Linked DNA regions of Schizosaccharomyces pombe. The main gene of each other region encodes a partner of the protein of the gene in region 3 in a complex. Each region holds a gene or a part of one and is shown on either strand. Other genes may lie near its edges.

Region 1 (5,132 bases), on a different chromosome or scaffold from region 3:
CTCCTATTCCATTTGCAATAAAATACCTCTTGGACCGTCTACGTTTATTCTTATAACGGGGTTGAATAGCCTGTACGTTTCGTTGCATATCGTTCAAAGCTACGTTCAACTGCCTGTAGTCAGATACTCAGTACTTGTTACATTTGCATATTATCAATATTCCATGATTTCGGTTAGTATTAATATTCTATTTGTAGCTAACTATATTAGGGATTGTTTATTTTTAACCTGAAAGGTGACACGCTCATTTGCAAGACTTTTCGGCATGATTTAAAGTATGTAGATTACATTTTTGTGCTTTTGATTCATTTTCACTAATTTTTCATTTGAAAGGAAATCAGTAACTGAAATTTTTCGCGTTGCTATTCTAACAAATACTGATTATCGGCACCCAATTGTCAGTATTGGATCAAGTACTTACATTTACACGAAACACGAGGATCTTTACGTGGTTGCCATTACCAAAGGAAATCCAAATGTTATGATTGTTTTGGAATTTTTGGAGAGTCTAATTCAAGATTTGACACATTATTTTGGGAAACTGAATGAAAATACAGTCAAAGACAATGTCTCCTTTATTTTCGAGTTGCTGGATGAAATGATAGACTATGGTATCATTCAGACTACTGAACCTGACGCACTTGCAAGATCTGTCAGCATAACAGCTGTCAAAAAGAAAGGCAATGCACTGTCCTTGAAAAGGTCTCATTCCTCTCAGTTGGCACACACCACTTCCTCTGAAATACCAGGGTCTGTACCATGGCGTAGAGCTGGCATTAAGTATAGAAAAAATAGTATCTACATTGATATTGTTGAAAGAATGAATTTACTTATTAGCTCTACTGGAAATGTGCTACGCTCAGATGTTTCTGGTGTCGTGAAAATGCGTGCAATGCTTTCTGGAATGCCTGAATGTCAGTTTGGGCTAAATGATAAGCTTGATTTTAAATTAAAACAATCAGAAAGCAAGTCTAAATCAAATAACTCTAGAAATCCGTCCTCAGTTAACGGAGGATTTGTCATTTTAGAAGATTGCCAGTTTCATCAATGTGTTAGATTGCCGGAATTTGAAAATGAACACAGAATTACTTTCATTCCGCCGGATGGTGAGGTTGAATTAATGAGTTATCGTTCACATGAAAACATAAATATTCCTTTTAGAATTGTTCCTATTGTCGAACAGTTGTCGAAACAAAAAATTATTTATCGTATCAGTATACGAGCAGACTATCCACACAAACTTTCTTCTTCTTTGAACTTTCGGATACCGGTTCCCACAAATGTGGTAAAAGCTAATCCTCGTGTAAATCGAGGAAAGGCAGGGTACGAGCCCTCTGAAAATATTATCAATTGGAAAATTCCCCGGTTTTTAGGCGAAACTGAACTTATTTTTTACGCTGAGGTAGAGTTATCTAATACAACTAACCAGCAAATATGGGCGAAGCCTCCAATATCCTTAGATTTCAATATTCTTATGTTTACCAGCTCCGGTCTACATGTGCAATACTTAAGGGTCAGTGAACCTTCTAATAGCAAATACAAAAGTATTAAATGGGTAAGGTACTCAACTAGGGCTGGAACTTGCGAGATACGCATTTAAGAAGTATTGTGATACAAAATTATTATTTTATTAATTGACGACCGTGCTTTTCCGACATGAAAAGAATTTCCAAAATAGTTTTAGAACATTTCAAAATGAAACAAGTGGCGTTGAAAGTTTAATAGATGAAAGAAGAGAGGTTATAATGAATGCAATTAAACACCATACCGCTTCGATGAGGCATTTGAGGCTATAATTATGCTTTTGTAGGCATTAATGAATAGACGGAAACCAAAATAAAACATTACCTGGGAAATGAAAAAAATACTAATACTTTTTCTTTAAAAGTCTAGCGATTTTCTGTTGTGATTCGAGTATCTGCTTATCTTGTAACTTACTTAACTCTTCGTTCACCCGTTTCATGTCAACTTGTTCAAGGACCTTTGGATACCTGCTCAGGGTTTTCACATTAGAACCATCAGGAAGTAATTCACCCTCCTGCCAATCTTTCAAATCATTTGGGGCATTTGGGTAAACGAAAGGTTCTTCCATCTCAACGATGACGCGTTTTTCAGATTGTGGTCTCTTAACCTGTCCTAGTTGATTTCTAAAAAGTTTGCCCTGATAAATTCTTGACTTAACTGATACGACTTTTAAATTGTACACATGTTGCAAATAATCGCGAACATCAAACTTGTTAACATGAAGAGGTACGCGAAATACTGCAAATTTAGGTTGAAGATTTAGTCCTCTGCATAACGTGAACGTTATATTTGGAAAGTACACTAATCTTTTCCCAGCAATTTTACTCATATTTACTATTGAGTTTCAACTTCAAGGCTAAAGCAACTTGTGCTAGTTATGCAAAAAAAGAGAAACAAATGGTTTTTCTCAACAGTAGATTTCAAGATGAATTTGATGTCAACGGCCTTAGGTAAACGATTAGTTATTAACCATTTGTTGGATTACGGAGTTCAAATGTTGTTTAGTACTAACGTGCTGAGAATCCGGTTGCTTTATTGCATCAAAGCTCAGTTGTATACTATTAACAAATAACGTCTCTGGTTGTATTATCCTAGAACGTAATATATGTAAGCTACGCAATTTGGTATCTGATTTAAGGATACGTAGAACTGCGGTGAGTTTTCCTTGTGATCTATTATATTGTAATACGCAAGTAGTATAAGTAGGAATTGGATATAGGTATTCTAATATATAGGATATATCGTTATCTATAGCTGAGATATCTTATAACTGAACTGAGGAATCAAATTCAGTTGTTCTCAATTTATAACATTTGAAATAACAAGGATTATAACTGATAGTCATCTTATCATAAATGATATTATATCCTTCTAGATAACTTATCATGTAAAGCTGATAGAGCAAATAGAACATTATGAACATGTGACATATAGTGATACACAACGTAGTATATCGTAGCGTAGTGTAGTATTGCTGACATATAAAGCAGCTTATTTCAAGTTCGTTATAGTTTATTAAAATACGTTGGATTACTTATTTTTAATATAAAGAAACGCAGCAGAACAATTGAAATGAGAATGTTAAATCAAACTTAAGAAGGCCCTTTTGATAGTTGTTATTCATACGGTAAATTTTCTTGCCAGCGACACTAGAGAACTAAAAAATCAACAAAAGTGCAGCTCACTCGTCTTAAATGTCCGGATTCCAGACGTCCGACGAGGTCGATATATCAAATTCTTTAAAAGCTTTTCCTGTTGATATTGCTACTGATAATCAAAAAGATAAGCACGAAAATGTTGGTGAAAATGTGAGCGATGAAGATGATGGTAATTATATTGCCTCGAAGCTTTTGGAGTCTAACAGGAGGACGAAGGGAAAAAAGGGGAATGGAAAGGCTTCTAATTTCCAATCGATGGGTATGTTAACTTCGTGATTACTTGCCATAAGGTCACTTTGCATTATGCTTCAAGACACTGTAATCTAAATTACTTTGATATTTTTCTAACTTAATTATAGGATTGAATCAAACTTTACTTCGAGCAATATTTAAGAAGGGTTTTAAAGCTCCTACGCCGATTCAGCGCAAAACGATTCCCCTTTTATTGGAAGGTCGTGATGTTGTAGGTATGGCACGTACTGGATCAGGTAAAACTGCAGCTTTTGTTATACCTATGATTGAGCATTTGAAGTCCACTCTAGCAAACTCTAATACTCGCGCCTTAATTCTCTCGCCAAATCGAGAACTTGCTCTTCAGACTGTGAAAGTCGTCAAAGACTTTTCTAAAGGTACGGATCTTCGATCTGTCGCTATCGTCGGTGGCGTCAGTCTAGAGGAGCAATTTAGTTTGCTATCCGGAAAACCCGATATTGTGGTCGCAACTCCTGGAAGATTTCTACATTTAAAGGTGGAAATGAAATTGGAGTTGAGTTCAATCGAGTATGTCGTTTTCGATGAGGCCGATAGACTTTTTGAAATGGGTTTTGCTGCTCAATTGACAGAGATTTTACATGCTTTGCCGACTTCTCGTCAAACTCTTCTCTTCTCTGCCACACTTCCACGTACTCTTGTTGATTTTGCAAAGGCTGGACTTCAAGACCCGGTTCTTGTACGCCTTGATGTAGAATCCAAGGTTTCCGCGGATCTACAAAGTGCCTTTTTTTCTGTTAAAACCGCTGAACGCGAAGCTGCTCTCTTATGTATACTACAAGATATCATTAAGCTTCCTCTAAAAGATAACGTGCGCCCAAGAGAAATAGGAAATGTCAATAATCCGAAGAAAAGAAAACGTGCATTAGAATTAGCGCTTAAAGGAAGTGAATCTGGATCACCAGATTCTACTCTAGTATTTGTTCCTACAAAACATCATGTCGAGTATGTTTCTGAGTTACTTGTTCAAGCAGGATATTCGGTTTCAAAAATTTACGGGTCTTTGGACCAAGAAGCGCGTCTCAATGAAATTAATAATTTTCGACTTGGAAAAACAAATTTACTAGTCGTTACAGACGTAGCTTCTCGTGGTATTGACATCCCATTACTTGCTAATGTTATTAATTATGATTTCCCTCCTCAACCAAAAGTTTTTGTTCACCGTGTAGGACGTACAGCTCGAGCAGGACGCACTGGCTGGGCGTATTCATTGGTTAGAGCAGAAGATGCTGGTTATTTATTAGACTTACAACTATTTTTAAACCGACCTTTAGTTACATCCTCGAAGCAGGTTAAAACTGACTCGGATTGTGATTTTACAAAACAGATTGTTTTGGGATCATTACCCCAAGAACTTGTTGCTGAGCTACTAGAATGGGTACAAAGAATAGTTTCGAGAGACGTTGAGCTACAGCAACTTTCCAACGTTGCTGCAAGGGGTGAGAAACTATATTTTCGCACAAGAGCTACTTGTAGTGCTGAGAGTGCTAAAAGAGCTAAGGAATTGGTTGATAGCAAGGGCTGGAGTTCCAACAATCCATTATTTGGAGATGTATCGGTAATTGAGGCCGAGGAGAAATATGCTGAATTGCTTTCAAAAGTTTCTTCTTATCGGCCATCAGAAACAGTATTTGAAATCGGTCAGCGTGGTCACTTAAAGACAGAAGCTGCAGAAATCAT
Region 2 (4,370 bases), 2.3 Mb from region 3:
CTACCCCGATTCCACACATGGTACATGGTATTCCTTGGCTTCAAGATTTATATATATTTCCATCTCGTACAGTAGATGTGAATTTCGAAGGTCCGCCCCTTTCCCAGGAAAGATTGTATAGTATTTTTAGGACATATGGAAAACTAAGATCCGTGACCATTAATTCACCTACTTCTGCTACTTTGAGTTTTTCATCGCTAAGGTCCGCTACGTCAGCTTTAAACTGTATGCATGGTTTTGTTTATGGGAAAACAGAATTCCACATGCGATACAGACATATGAACCGCTTTGTCGCCTTCAAAGACTGGTTATTCTCTCATCCTCGTTTTACTATTCCTTTGGTTGCGGCGGCTATTACAGTTTTAACGGCTTCTTTATTCGATCCGATAAGAAAGTTCTTTGTCGAGACAAACATTGTACATGGTCAGAAGTTGAGAAATATCAATGTTGTTGGGTGGGTCAAAAAGAAAACTCGCGATATAGTTTTGAGTCCCTTTCACGAAAATGGTACAAATATAAAGGCACCGATTTGGACAACACGTGAAAAGGATTGTGAACAGTTGAAAGAATGGTTGGATGAAGCATTACATTCTTTTATTGTTGTTCAAGGTCCTCGTGGTAGTGGTAAGCGTGATCTGGTAGATCGAGTTGTTAAAGAACGAAAAAATGTTTTGTTTTTCGACTGTGATCGCTTATTCTCCACTACTAATACGGAAATGTTCGTAAGTACTCTTGCTAGCCAAACGGGGTATTTCCCCCTCTTTAGCTTCCTAAACAACATATCGTCACTTATCGATATGGCTGCACAAGGTCTCATAGGACAAAAAACGGGAATTGTTTCTTCTAGTGAAGGACAAGTGCGGCAAATTCTTAACACAACACAAACGGTATTGCGTTCTCTAGCATTACGAGAGCATAAAGAAGCCGATACTAGTGTGTTGGATGAATCTGAGTTTTTAGAAGTTCATGCAGATCGCTTACCTGTTGTTATTCTCGACAATTTCCAGCTTCGTAAATTATCAAACCCGATGCAGAGAGTGGTTGCTGAATGGGCTGGTAATTTGGTAAAGGAAGGAATTGCTCATGTACTAATGCTAACACCCGATGTTGGAGGCACCAAGTCATTAGAGCAATATGTCAACGGTTGGGAAAATAGAACATTGTTATTAGGAGATGCTGACCCTGTACTTGCTCAGCGATATGTCATAGAGTCTTTACCCGAAGAGATGCAAACAGAAGAATTGAGGAAAGAATTGCGGGTCCAATTACCGAAGATTGGTGGCCGACTTCGTGATCTTGATTATGTAGCTCGTAGGTTGCGGGTTAATTCTTCCAGTGTTTCTGAAGCAATTGGCGGTATTGTAAGTCAAAATGCCTCTGATATTTTGCAAACATTTTTACGGCCTGCTTCTTTAACCAGTGAGGAGAAGCCAACGTTCACTCCAGAAGAGTCATGGACCTTAATTACTTATTTATCTCAACATGAATATATACCCTATCATATGTTGATGCTTGACCCACTGTTCAAAGGACACGACGATGCCGTTCGTGCCTTGGAAGAATCAGAATTGATTACTATTACCACAGTGAATGCAAGACCGGATAAAGTCTACGCTGGAAAACCTGTATATGTTACGGCTTTCCGGCAACTTGTAAATGATCCAGTATTAAGTGCTAATATGCAGTTGGTGAGATGTAACGCGTTAATTGGCATGGCTAACAATGCTATCAAGAATGATGAACAGGAGCTACAAATGCTAAAGGACCTTGGGAACCTTGAATCAGGTGTGAAGGATCGTGCTCATTACTTAACGACGCGTATCCAGAAAAATCAAGGTGTTATTACTGATAATGAGAAAAGTATAGAAAGGCTTACTGAGGCTTTGAAAAAAATCGACTAAGATGCGAAAGCATATCATTTAAGATTACGTATGTTTTTATGAATTCTTTAGCATGAAGCTATAATGTCAACAATAATATCACATTTAATGACTACGCATTAACGAGAGAGAAGGGAGTAAGGATTTGGTAGGTAGTCCAAAAATCGTCGTAATATGAAGTGAGCGTAATGAAGAATTAGCCTAGGTAGAAAAAAAAAGAAGAAGCGAAACCGGTTATAGTCATTAACCTTGACGGGTTTTATGTCTCGGATGTTTTTTGCATAGTACATACAACCTACCTTTGCGACGCACAAAATAGCAGGATGAACAACGCTTTTTTACTGATGCTTTCACTTTGAAACCTCTTGAAAAGTTCCAAGGTAGAAGGCTAGGAGAAAGTCTGAAAGCAGGGGTTAAGAACATAGATGCATTTTTTAACAACCCTTTTTGTGCATTAAAAGCAGAAGGGAAGACTCGTGACAAAACACCCACAGCAAAAAATTTACGACCTAATGAAGCCATTATAAGTTAAAAAAAAAGTGAAACTGGGACTTCAAGTCAAGATGTTTAAATTTTTTTGGATCCGAAGTAATTCTGAGCTAAATAAATGATGTACGATGGAAAAGTGTTCACAATTTGGACTGAGCCAAAAAAGAACGATAATAGAAAATGCCTATCAACAAGAGAAGATTTTCATAAAAAAAAAAGGTGAATACTAAGTTATATAAACTCGCTTACGCCCGATTTGTTGGATATTCTTTGTTGGGAAAATAAATAGTAGTTAGTGCTTCTAGTAAGCTAACCTACGACATGTCAGTTAGTGACAACCAACATGTCTTGTTATTCTATAAATTCAATAGCCAGCTTACTGTGGAGCAATTTGACCTGAAATTTATCACATTATTTTAAAATAAGGAATACTTTTATTAAAGTGGAGTCAACTCAACAGTGTAGCTCCATTTTTTGTTTACAAATGAAAATTTTAATGTTGAGTCTCTGACCTTCTTAGTCCCTAAAATAGCTAATTGACCGCATCATCTAATAACTTTGATTCTACGTTATTTGGTTTGGCATGCTAATCGATTAATTTGAAATGATCAATTTTTGAGAATTTGTTTATGTTTTTAGTTGCTGGTATAACGAGTTCGTTATACTTTGCTAATTTGGGTATGGAACTGGAGTGCAGATGCGTCATTTGCCTTGGTAAAAGATTGTTAAAGGAAAATTTAGCAAATCCCACGAATTGGTGGATGTCTCAAAAACACCAAAATATTCAATCCAAAGGCTGAAAAATAGATTGCTATGCAGCAAAATGTTAAAGAGAAACATGCTGGCAAAAGTGACACATCAGTGAGTTCTTTGGAGTGTGAAATCGATTATCATATCGAAGGGTCAGATGGCATACCTGTTGTGGAACCAGTAAGTTTACGCGAAAAATATTAAATATTTTGTGGATGTTAACAAAATTTGTTTAGAAAATTTCAGAATTTGTAGATATGGAAAGTTTTATTCGGCGCGTTGAAAGGCTTGGCAAGAAATACGGCGCAATTAAAGTTGTTCGTCCTAGTTCTGTTTTAAATCCTTGGAACGAAGATACAATGAAACCTTCCGATGTAAAAATGGATTTATGGTTAGAGCGAATGGTGAGACGGAAAGGAGAGTACTTCGAGATTCAAAGCGATATAGACCATGGCTCGGCTGGTCCTAAAAAGCCTACCGATATGAATGTCGACGACAGGTTTCCTTCAAACGCTGGAAGTTCTAATGACTTTGAAAACAATGTGGCTAAAGCTATTGCATATTATTGGCGTTCTTTGACCCATGACAGTCTGTGGTATGGATATACTAATCGCCCATCGATCCCCTTCTATTTTATACCTTCGATATCTGCTGCTCAAAAAGATAGGGTACATTTAAGATCGAATACATTGATTAACACTTGGCCAAATGTTGGTCACTTATTTGCTGGGAAATGGAAAACTACCCTTCCTTGGCGGGTAGAATCTCCTGAGCTGCATGCAGTTCAGGTACATTTAGGTGGCTCTTCATTGCAATGGTATGTGATACCTTCAGCACATAGTGAGTCTTTTAAAAAATTAGCTGGAAAGCTTGCGCAAGATGAGCATTGGCGTTGTTCAGATTTTTTGCTTCACCAGAATATTTTGTTTCCCCCTTCAACTCTAGTACAAAATGGTATTGTTACTTATTCAACAGTCCTTAAACAGGATGAACTGCTTATAACCTTTCCAGGCACACATCATAGTGCATTTTGTCTAGGAGACGCTGTTTTACGACGTTTTGTCTTTCGTTCACCAAGATCTGCTTCCAACTATGAATTTTCTAATTTACGAAGACTTATGGTTTCAGAATCCCTTTATTCCTCTAAATCTTTATGGCCACATTCGCATAAGCCTCAACGTGCTTGTTCTCAAAAGTTCCTGGATGAGTTTTACTTGCATGATTTACCCGAATCCAACATCCATGATAGTG
Region 3 (5,726 bases):
GAACTGGTGCATTCTTTATTTTCAAGATATTAAAGGTTGACAGGGTTTCCTAAATTCTTTGAAACACCTCTTTTAGTAGCTGCTATACACATTTATTGAACAATTCCTATTTTCTTTATCAGGTTTGCCAGTGTTTTCAATCGAAAATACCCATTGTAATTAGTTTATTTATTTTTTTGATTCTTGATAAGGAAATGCTCTTCTGAAAGTCAATAATTGGTGAACATGATTAGTTTTTCTCACTGGAATTCTCACATACGTTCGGGACTTAGTCTAAGCATGATTCCTTCTGCAAACTCTCGTTTTGCTTTCATTATTCAAAGAAATTATATTCCTGTCGTTAACTCGCAGAACACAAGATGGAAAAGGTTATGCGGGACACAGTCAGTTTGGTCACCATACAAAAAAAAGCACGTACTGGTTAATCGATTGAAGCATATATCTTTATTCCCCAAACCTATATTTGCAAGAAAGTTTACAACCCGACAAAAAAGTGAAGACCAGAAGCAATGGAGGATACTAAGGATTACATTTCTTGTCCTCCCTTTTACGGTCGGAGGATTATGGATTTTATACAGAGTCAAAAATCGAAAGAATAATATTTTCTCCTTTGACGAACTTGAATTAGAAGAGAGAAGCAATCGACCTCGTTCTATTTTTGGAAAAATAAAACAATTTTTTAATATTCTCCTCAGGTCATTTAATTTATTTATTATTTTCTCTCCAATTATTATTACCTTACCGTTTATCGCTCTTATTTCTTTCCTGCATCTTCGATCTTTGTCGTCTTTAACCGTATCCATTTGGCTTCGTTTCCTCGTTACTCAATTAGAAAGAGCAGGAGCAACGTTTATCAAGGTACGTTTTGAATTTACGCTTATCATGTTACTAACATTATTTTTTTATTTTGCAGTTGGGACAATGGGCTGCTTCACGGACAGATTTGTTTCCTCCTGCTTTCTGTAAAACACTGTCCAAATTACATTCACATGTAACGCCCCACAGCCTTGCCTATACTCAATCAGTCATCTGCAAGACTTATAAAGTGGAATCTATCGAGGAAATTTTTGTTAATTTTAACCCAATACCTATAGGTGTTGGAGCAATTGCTCAAGTCTATACGGCTACCATCAAGAAAGCAGCTACGCAGCAAGATAATTCCTACTTTACAAGTATGCTACAATCTATAGGGTTTCGACAGAAAAATATCTCTGATGCGCCAGTGACTCAAGATGTAGCCATTAAAGTTTTGCACCCGAATGTTGAAAAATACATTTCTTTAGACTTACAAATCTTAGGTTTCTTCGCAAAATTAATTAATTTGGTACCTTCAATGAAGTGGCTTTCTCTGCCCGACGAAGTTAAGGTATTTGGGGCAATGTTAAACCAGCAATTGAATTTACATTATGAGGCGCTTCATCTCAACCAGTTCCGTCTTAACTTTAGAGGAAATAGATATGTTGAATTTCCAGCTCCCTATGATGATTACACGACTAATCAAATCCTACTAGAAGACTATATGCCGGGTATCCCATTAAGCGCGTTCCTCAAACATAAGTCAGGACCATTTAACAAGTTGTTAGCTAACACAGGAAATAATGCATTATTTCAAATGCTTATTGTTGACAACTTTACACATGCTGATCTTCATCCGGGTAATGTCCTTGTTAAATTTTACAAAGGAATCCCTAAAACAATCTTTAATCAAGATAATGAGATTAATGACTCAATTTATAAAATTCTAAGTACATGTTCGACGGAGGAATGGGATTCTGCTATGGAAGAATTAAACATCTTGGGCTATCGACCGACTTTAGTATTTTTGGATGCTGGATTAGTAACGAAACTTAGTACGCAGGATCAGAAAAATTTTTTGGATCTGTTTCAAGCCGTACTTACTTTCCATGGCTATGAGGCTGGACTGTTGATGGTTGAAAGGAGCAGGCAGACAGAACGCGTTATAAACAAAGACATATTTGCTCTTAAAATGGAACATTTGTTGAATGAAATTCAAAAGAGCACGCTTTCACTGAAATCACTTCAAATAGGAACTATATTACAAGAAGTAATGACTATGGCGAGAGAGCATCATGTTCGAATTGAAGCAAATTTCGCAAATACTGTGCTATCTATCCTTTTAGTTGAAGGCGCTGGACGCCAACTATATCCAGAAATGGATCTATTAAGTAATGCTACACCATATCTTCGTTCTGCTTCATCGAAATCCAATGTCTCACTCACAAACCCAATGGTTCAATTATGGATAGCTTTAGAAGCTAGACAATTTTTGCTTTTAAGCACCTCTAAAGAAACGGTAGAAAAGTGGGTTAAGTCCGATATGATCGCACCCAATATATAAAAAAATTACGGTTTATTTTATAAATGATGGAAAATTGTTCATGAAAAATATAGTCGCAGACATGGAAAATAAATTTTATAAACTCGTGTTTTAAAGAAGTTATTAAAGTTCAAAGTTCAACAAGTAAAATTAAACAAAGAACCAATGGAAAGAAAATGTATCACAAACTAGAAAGCATTACTTAAATGAAGAATTGATAGAGGTTACTAATGCAAATTAGAGCCCATTAAAAGATAATATGTACTCAATGGCTCAGATACATCCTCCCTTTTTGTCTTCGATCTCGTAAAACACGACGACCGTTAACAGAACGAATTCGAGATAAAAATCCGTGTTTTCTTTTACGCTTTCTATTTGAGGGTTGATACTCGTTTCCATACGTTTTCCAACGCACTTGCTGCATTTGACCGAAGATGTTCATAGTCGGTAAAGAACTGTATAAAGTAGCGGTATTAAAAGGGTTTCTTGTCGGAAACCCTCTCATAGTTCCTCCTCCAGCTAATATTGAAATATTCCTGGCTCCCTTCATGGCAGGATGCAACAAATTTCGAAATTGTTGCATAAACATCATAAAGCAATAGGAATGAAAGCAGGTGACTGGATTTCAAGAGAAAAAATTTCAAAAAATAATATAAAAATTATATATGAACGTAAATGTGCAAAATGAAGAGATTTGAGATGTGATGGAGTAGCTGGTTATTAGAAAGGTTGAAGTGAATCAGTGTAGCACCGTTTGACATTCGAAGTGTTAAATTTCAAATATTTGTGTTACAATAAATTAAAATCTTTGCTAAAATCCAATAACTACGTTTTAATAGTTTCATTCAATTCACTGGAATGTCGGTAATATAATAATAATACTATTATTATTAATAAATAGTTCATTAACCATTCTTTATACGCCCTTAAAGAAAGCAACCTGAACCCCTAAAATTTGATATCGCTTTTGCTTTTTCCCAACAAATAATTGGCATGAGATTACCAAATAGTAAAATCCATCAGTTTAATGAATTCGATTCATGGGCTAAAAGTGATAATTTATAGTACAAAAAAGGTTTTAGCAGTTAAATGACATCTTATACTTTCTTTTATCTATTTTATTTTATTAATAATACCCAGTATTTTAAATTGGAAGCAAATTGCTGCAGTCCCGGCTTTTTAAATATTGAAAGCATATTAAATATACTCATATATGGGAGCATCAATACATTAAATTTATCAAAAGTTATTATTTTTTTTTGTTTTTACGTGACATAATAAAATGGAGAAAAGGAGCTCTAATCTGCTATTTAAAATATTTGTTAAAAAAAAGGCATCGACGATGAGAATTTAGCGTATTGTTCTGCATTGCGATATTTCTTTAAACATAGGGGTTCACGAAAGTACAGCCTCTGCCACCGTCTTTTAGGGGACTTTATTGTCATTGTGAAAGTACAGAAAAATAAGTGTTGGATTTTCTAGGAACTAAAAAATGGATTATCAAAACCGCGCAGGTGTTCGTTTTGGAGGAGGAGGCGTTGCTGGCTATCAAGAAACAAATGCTGCACGTAGAGAGCGTCTTCGTAAATTGGCGCTAGAAACCATTGATTTATCAAAGGTATGTTTAAAAACCACTGAATTCTGAAAATTTGAGTGCTGAATGTCAATTATAATTACCGATGAATTAATCGTGTAAAGTAAGACATGTACGTATGTTACATATTATTGAAGTTTATTAGTAGTTGCTGTTAAATTCGCTAACTATAACAACTAAAATAACAACAATAATAAATGAAAAGGATTTGCTTTCTACTTCCTTGTTTGCTGTTTTGCATGTTACACTAATTGGACATCTTTTTTTTACCCTGTCAATCACCTTGAAGCTTCCTCCTCAAACTCTTTGCGATGATATTTCTATTGCTAATCTCTTATAGGATCCATATTTGATGAAAAATCATTTAGGCACTTTTGAATGTCGTCTTTGCCTCACTACACATGCGAATGAAAACTCTTACCTTACCCATACACAAGGTAAAAAACACCAGACAAATTTAGCCAGGAGACAGGCTCTCGAAAATAAAAAGTCTCAAGAGAATGCACCACAAGTGTTGTTGGGCATTTCTCAATCCCATGTCCAGGTTAAAAAAAGTGTCGTAAAAATTGGTCGACCCGGTTATAAAGTGTCCAAAATAAGAGAAGCCGAAAGCGGAAAATTTGGCCTACGTTTCCAAATAAAGTATCCAGATATTGAAGTGAACGCTAAGCCAAGATACAGAATTATGAGTGCTTATGAACAGCGTGTTGAAGCTCCTGACCGAAAGTTTCAGTATCTGGTAGTGGCTGCTGAACCATACGAATCAATAGCCTTTAAAATTGGTATGTTGGTTTTACTGATTTTTTATTTATATTAACTTTGTTGCGCAGATGCTCACGAAATAGATCGTGCACCCGGGAAATTTTGGAGTTATTGGGATGCACCTACATATACTATCCAATTCTTTTACAACTTAACAAAAATATCGTAAATTTTGAGCTGCTATCCTAAATTTCCTTTTTATGAAACAAAATGTCTTTTCCAAATATTTCGCTCAGTCTCCCAATTTATCAATACCGCAGTTCTTTATGTGTGTAAAAGAATTCGAACTCAATCATTCTGAATTGTTTCTCCACACGTGAATTGTAGAAGAACCGTGCTAGCTAAACCTATTTTGGTGATTTATATACTTATTTTCCCAGATTTGTGGAAGTACCAATTGATAAAGTTGGCTAACTTCTACTGTATGGCGTTCGATAAATTAGCAAATGTCGCTACAGTGGACGCGATTTTTGCGATATCTAGCTCAACTTTCCTTTGGTCTACATGGGTTCTACAACGGACAATATTAAAACGGCCTAATTTTTTTTCTCCAAACCCAGTTGTTGAGAAAATGGTGCATCCAACTTTGATTACTTGGAAATTGTTTTCATTTACATCAGTATTAACTGTTTCAACCTTTACCTTCGCTTCCTGTTTGATAATGCGAACAATTGGTGTTGAAAATATAAAAGAATTTGGTCTTTATGCTCGAGAAAAGCTTAGTTTTGCAAGAGCAAAGCCAGTTAAGGATGACATTACCAGCTTTCCTAATCACAAAATTAGTATCACTTAAATTGTATACTATAAAAAGTAATTACGTGTTTATTTTACACTTTTTAAAATGTACACGGCTTCCCTCTTTCAGTCAAGTCATGATACCGTTATATGAATATTCTATAAATTAATGGGAATCCCTTTATAAAAGTCACAAAAAGCTATGCGTTTATCATAAATGATTGTATATGGCTTCATTGCAGGCAATGAACATAAGCCTCCAAATTCCTGAGTCCATGAGCTTTGGGAAAATTACTT
Region 4 (4,796 bases), on a different chromosome or scaffold from region 3:
CATGATTGAAAAGCTTCTGCGTGAAGATGAAGAAGGTAATCTGTGGTTTCACGCTTCTGAAGATGCCAAAAAGTTTGCGGAGGTCTATGGACACAGTCCTCCTGCAAGTCCATCTCGCACTCCTGCGTCTCCAAAGTCCGATTCGGCTTTAATGGATGAGGACTCTGATTTAAGCCGTCGACACTCTTTATCTGAACAGTCTTTGAGCCCAGTTTCCGAGTCATATCCTCAATATGCTAAAACCCTTCGTTTAACCTCTGATCAGCTTCGTTCATTAAATTTGAAGCCCGGTAAAAATGAGCTTTCCTTTGGAGTCAACGGGGGTAAGGCCATTTGCACTGCTAATCTTTTTTTTTGGAAACACAACGATCCTGTCGTTATATCGGACATTGATGGAACAATTACCAAATCTGATGCTCTAGGGCATATGTTTACCTTGATCGGCAAGGATTGGACTCATGCTGGAGTTGCCAAATTGTATACCGATATCACTAACAACGGCTACAAAATTATGTATTTAACTAGTCGTTCGGTAGGCCAAGCCGATTCTACTCGACATTATCTCCGGAATATTGAACAGAACGGATACTCTCTACCCGATGGTCCTGTTATTTTATCACCTGATCGCACTATGGCTGCTCTTCATAGAGAAGTAATTTTAAGGAAGCCAGAAGTATTTAAAATGGCTTGTTTGCGTGATCTTTGTAATATTTTCGCCTTACCTGTTCCTCGAACACCATTTTACGCCGGCTTTGGCAATCGTATTACAGACGCAATATCTTATAACCATGTCAGAGTTCCACCAACTAGGATTTTTACCATTAATTCTGCTGGCGAAGTCCATATTGAACTGTTGCAGCGAAGCGGTCACCGAAGTAGTTATGTTTACATGAATGAGCTTGTCGATCATTTCTTCCCTCCCATCGAGGTTAGCACCCGAGATGAAGTCTCAAGCTTTACTGATGTGAATTTTTGGAGATCTCCTTTGCTTGAACTTAGCGATGAAGAAGAAGACGATACTAATAAAAGCACATCCAAGTCGCCCAAAACACCCAAAAATACGAAATTCGGATATCAAGAATTCGAGGGGATTGACGAGGAAGATGCTCAAGATTATTCTCCTAGTCCATTGATTAAGTCTTTCAATGAATTAATGTTTGAAGGTGAAGAAGATGAAGAAGGAGAAGAAGACGTTGAAAATGCTGTTTGAAGTTGCATTTTCCCAATTTCCGATGAAAAAAAAATTACTCGACTGTCCATCTTTTTTTTTAATGCCCCAAAATCTTAAAATCACTTTGACGAATTTCCGTCGGCTTTGAAATGCACTAATAAGCTTAGAAAGTTACATAAATCATATAATGACTTACTTACTCATTCACAAGTAATGAGTTTTGAGAAAGTGCTAAATATTTTTTTTATATTTAAATGCGCTCTTCCTAAAAATTAAAGATAACAAGATACTTCATAATGAAAAGTTACGAATAAATCACATTCTAAAATCCTAAGTCTGCAGATTCAAAACCTAATATTTAAATGTAATTTAACTATTAAAGTAGAATCATATTATTAGTAAAGATTACAAAAATGTATAGACTAGTATATTAGTCTTTTTATCATGCTGCACAATAAAAGACTTTTAGTAAACACATAATTGAGGTAATATAGCAGTAAATTTAAATGAATCTTTAAAAAAATTTAAGGAAGTCATAAACAAACAGGAATCAAAAGGTATTAACAGTATTACGTGAAACCCACTTTGCAGAAGAAGAATTTAGAAAGGAGAAGGTTTCGCTATTTTGCTAGCTTTTTGCTAAAAAGAGTGTTAATAAAGACAATTAAAAAAATAATAATAGTAAATTTTTCACAATCAAAATCAGTAGATAGAAATAAGAAAATCATGAAAGTACAACAGTTTACATACGCGCTCATTTTTAAATTTAGAAGTTTTCTTCAATGATTCCGAAAGTTTTAAACGCCTATTTTCCAAAATCTCATCCCTCTTTCGTTCACTAATTTTTCCTTTAGGATTCAGAAGACCTTTCAAAATATGGCGTGTAGAATCTTTCTGCCATGACATTTGTTGGGGGAGTAAATTATCCAGATTCTGAAGCCTGGCCTCTTTATATATTTCAGCTTGCCTTCTATTGGAATAGTAAGGGTTGATTACAAGGCCATTCTGAGGATTTCGAGTTGCGAGAAACGGATTTTGACGATTTGGATTTGTCGTCCATGCATTTGGATTTTCAGGCGGAAACTTTTTAAAAAAGTTTCCTAATTGGATAGGAAGCCGTTCCAAAGCTTCCTTGGTAAAGACTGGCATGATAAGGTTAAAACCTCTTTAATCTATAGAGAAGCTCAAAAAGACAGTGAGTCAAGCACTATTAGTATTAGAAAATACATTGACCTAAGATGTCGGCAAACGTTTAACTGCGCTATATTACGTTAAATCAATCATTACTGTTCATTCTTGAGTTCTTAATCGAAACTTTTCATCGTTTGAAATATTAAAAGAGTTTATTATCTCAGACAATTCTAAGCCAATTTATTGACTATTAGCGTTTATTAGGTCGGACTAATTCTTAGTTACTCAATTTAGTTCCAATGGATATACTAATTAATATAATATTACGGTGTAGCAGTACTATAGTTAATAAATACAAAATTATCCAGGGTATTATTTTATACAAATATAAAAATCACTAACATATTTCGTTATTATGTATATCGTTGTTAAATTAGCAACTATACAAACTCCTTAAAATATTTTACATACTGCGTAGATGGCTTCCTCTCGCATTAGTCCCTCTACCTTAGGCATCTTTGTTGGGTTGCGTTATTTAATTATTGAAGGCTGACAGTATGTGTGATTGTGTTCCGCCAACGTAGCATTCAAACGCTTTCAATCATTATCGTTTTTAGTTGTGATTGCTTCTATGATTCCATCAAATGAGGCCCGTTCAAGTAAGCTGTGTGTGGTTATAGAGTTTCTGATGCCAGTAAAATTATCATATCAGATCATGTACGGATTCCTACTGACACATGTTGAGAGTAAGCAAAAAAAGCTCAATCATGCTTATTTTGAGTATTTTAAAACATAAATAAAAGTAAAAATTATTGTAGGAAAAGTCCGGTCATCTCTCGATGACTCCAATTAGTGGAGAATATAAGAAATACTAAAGGAATTATTTATAATGACATGTAACGCAGTGTGACATAAAGTTAGTAGTGCATAGAACTGTTGGTGATATCAAGTTGACAAGGAATCGATAAGACGCTCTTTAATGTTGAATATTAATAAGCCCTGTAAGTATCCCTGTTCTTCTAGTTAGGTCTATAGCTGAAAAACCTTCAATTCTCTGGAGCTTGTGTGGTTTTATCCATTATCACTTCCTTCGATTTATCCCTCGTAAGGAATAGGATAGCAATGCGTATAGATCAAATCGCGGATTATGAATGAAGGCTTGTGCGATAAATTTCCTTTACTTGATCAATAATCTTGTTGTCAACGCGTTGTATTAAATGCGCTTTATTGGAAAAGAAGAAACATAGCTTGTTGATTGAAATTCCAAAGTTTCTTGTAAACGAATTTGGAAAGCACTTCTGTACTTGAAAATAATACAAATTGGCCACTATATATTCGCTTTTTTTGTTCCTTTGTTTCTTTTATCCATCAATTTTTAAAAGCAGAAAACCTTTCCCTTATGCCCAAGATTTAAAAGGGAACATAATATCAAAGTTCATCGAATGGATATGATGATCAACACTTTCACCACAACGTTCTTTGTACATTGAATTTCCAGAAAAATTCCACCAAATGTTGTGAATATTTTAGGATAACAAAAGGAGTCAAATTGGAAAGGCAAGAAATGAATGTGTGTTAAATAGTGGCCCTCAATATATTACTATTAGGAAATGTCTTCGGGAAATAGCATATCTTTGAGGCCAATCAAAAGGATGGATGGAGCAGAGTAGGCACTCTTAGACAACTCTTGTTTATCAGTTTGTAATTCTTCATTTGTGATTATGTCTCTTAAGATTTGGACACATTTGCTTGCGGCAGATGAAAGCTGAGCATCGAAGGAGTGTAGACAAGGGAAGTATATCTCAGCGTACGAAAAAAAACATTCACTATATAACAACCGGATAGATGGGTTATCGTTTTTGCAATATGTGAAGCATATTTTCATCCGTTTAACAATTTGATCTAGTAATTTTTCCAATTGCTCTACGGAAGCGAATGAGAGCTTGTTAAATATCAGTTGCTCCAAAAATACGTAAAATTCCAAAAATTTCGCTCTGGAAATCACTCCAGTTCCATTGTTGGCATTGTTTTGCATAATCGACTGCGTGATTATAATGAGATCCAGTACATAATCTCCCAATTCAACTAGTCTTGTTAAAACCAACGGCGACTTACAATCTCTTTTAAGAAACATAAAAATTTCTTCGAATAAAGTTTTAATGCGCAAAAAATCCGCACCCTCGTATACTTTTGTTTGCTTCAACTTTATGTCAGCAGTGCATTTTAAGAATCGAAAAAGTCCATTAAACGTGTACTCAATATCCAGATGCGCAAGGCTTCCGGATGTTTGCCTCTTTTCCTGAAGATTCTCGTGAACATTGGTCAGCAAAAAGATATCTAGATTGGATTGTTAACGAAAGAAAATTCATACTATTTTAGATCAAAAAGGCTTTCTTTAATATAACTAATGCTTTAGATATAAGAAGATATACCGGCCTAGTATTGATGGATTTAATAAGCATCGTGCAAGTACTTACCCATATCCTCGATTTTT

Evidence for each region.
Region 1: mrx14 (region 3) and mrp20 share a complex: the UniProt entries of both Schizosaccharomyces pombe proteins name them as parts of the mitochondrial large ribosomal subunit.
Region 2: mrx14 (region 3) and rtc6 share a complex: the UniProt entries of both Schizosaccharomyces pombe proteins name them as parts of the mitochondrial large ribosomal subunit.
Region 4: mrx14 (region 3) and mrpl25 share a complex: the UniProt entries of both Schizosaccharomyces pombe proteins name them as parts of the mitochondrial large ribosomal subunit.

The regions. Positions count from the first base shown.
Region 1 is NC_003424.3:400,281-405,412, reverse strand, and holds mrp20 (mitochondrial 54S ribosomal protein uL23m), read right to left. Parts: upstream 2,528-5,132; 5' UTR 2,354-2,527; coding exon 1,868-2,353; 3' UTR 1,601-1,867; downstream 1-1,600. Other genes in the region: AP-2 adaptor complex subunit Apm4, read left to right, coding at 164-172, 211-275, 334-1,600; ATP-dependent RNA helicase Dbp10, read left to right, coding at 3,219-3,441, 3,542-5,132. UniProt on the Schizosaccharomyces pombe protein: Component of the mitochondrial ribosome (mitoribosome), a dedicated translation machinery responsible for the synthesis of mitochondrial genome-encoded proteins, including at least some of the essential transmembrane subunits of the mitochondrial respiratory chain.
Region 2 is NC_003423.3:1,518,089-1,522,458, forward strand, and holds rtc6 (mitochondrial 54S ribosomal protein bL36m), read right to left. Parts: upstream 2,403-4,370; coding exon 2,124-2,402; 3' UTR 1,942-2,123; downstream 1-1,941. Other genes in the region: RNA-binding protein Yme2, read left to right, coding at 1-1,901; Lid2 complex histone demethylase H3-K36 subunit Jmj3, read left to right, coding at 3,183-3,299, 3,356-4,370. UniProt on the Schizosaccharomyces pombe protein: Component of the mitochondrial ribosome (mitoribosome), a dedicated translation machinery responsible for the synthesis of mitochondrial genome-encoded proteins, including at least some of the essential transmembrane subunits of the mitochondrial respiratory chain.
Region 3 is NC_003423.3:3,801,972-3,807,697, forward strand, and holds mrx14 (mitochondrial 54S ribosomal protein bL34m), read right to left. Parts: upstream 3,058-5,726; 5' UTR 2,931-3,057; coding exon 2,604-2,930; 3' UTR 2,360-2,603; downstream 1-2,359. Other genes in the region: cqd1 (ABC1 kinase family protein ), read left to right, coding at 226-858, 914-2,359; U2 snRNP-associated protein Sap62, read left to right, coding at 3,831-3,956, 4,273-4,714, 4,778-4,863; SPOM_SPBC21C3.06 (uncharacterized protein), read left to right, coding at 5,119-5,487. UniProt on the Schizosaccharomyces pombe protein: Component of the mitochondrial ribosome (mitoribosome), a dedicated translation machinery responsible for the synthesis of mitochondrial genome-encoded proteins, including at least some of the essential transmembrane subunits of the mitochondrial respiratory chain.
Region 4 is NC_003424.3:4,992,125-4,996,920, forward strand, and holds mrpl25 (mitochondrial 54S ribosomal protein mL59), read right to left. Parts: upstream 2,384-4,796; 5' UTR 2,321-2,383; coding exon 1,922-2,320; intron 1,811-1,921; coding exon 1,772-1,810; 3' UTR 1,500-1,771; downstream 1-1,499. Other genes in the region: lipin, phosphatidate phosphatase Ned1, read left to right, coding at 1-1,210; meiotic recombination protein Rec24, read right to left, coding at 3,906-4,639, 4,780-4,796. UniProt on the Schizosaccharomyces pombe protein: Component of the mitochondrial ribosome (mitoribosome), a dedicated translation machinery responsible for the synthesis of mitochondrial genome-encoded proteins, including at least some of the essential transmembrane subunits of the mitochondrial respiratory chain.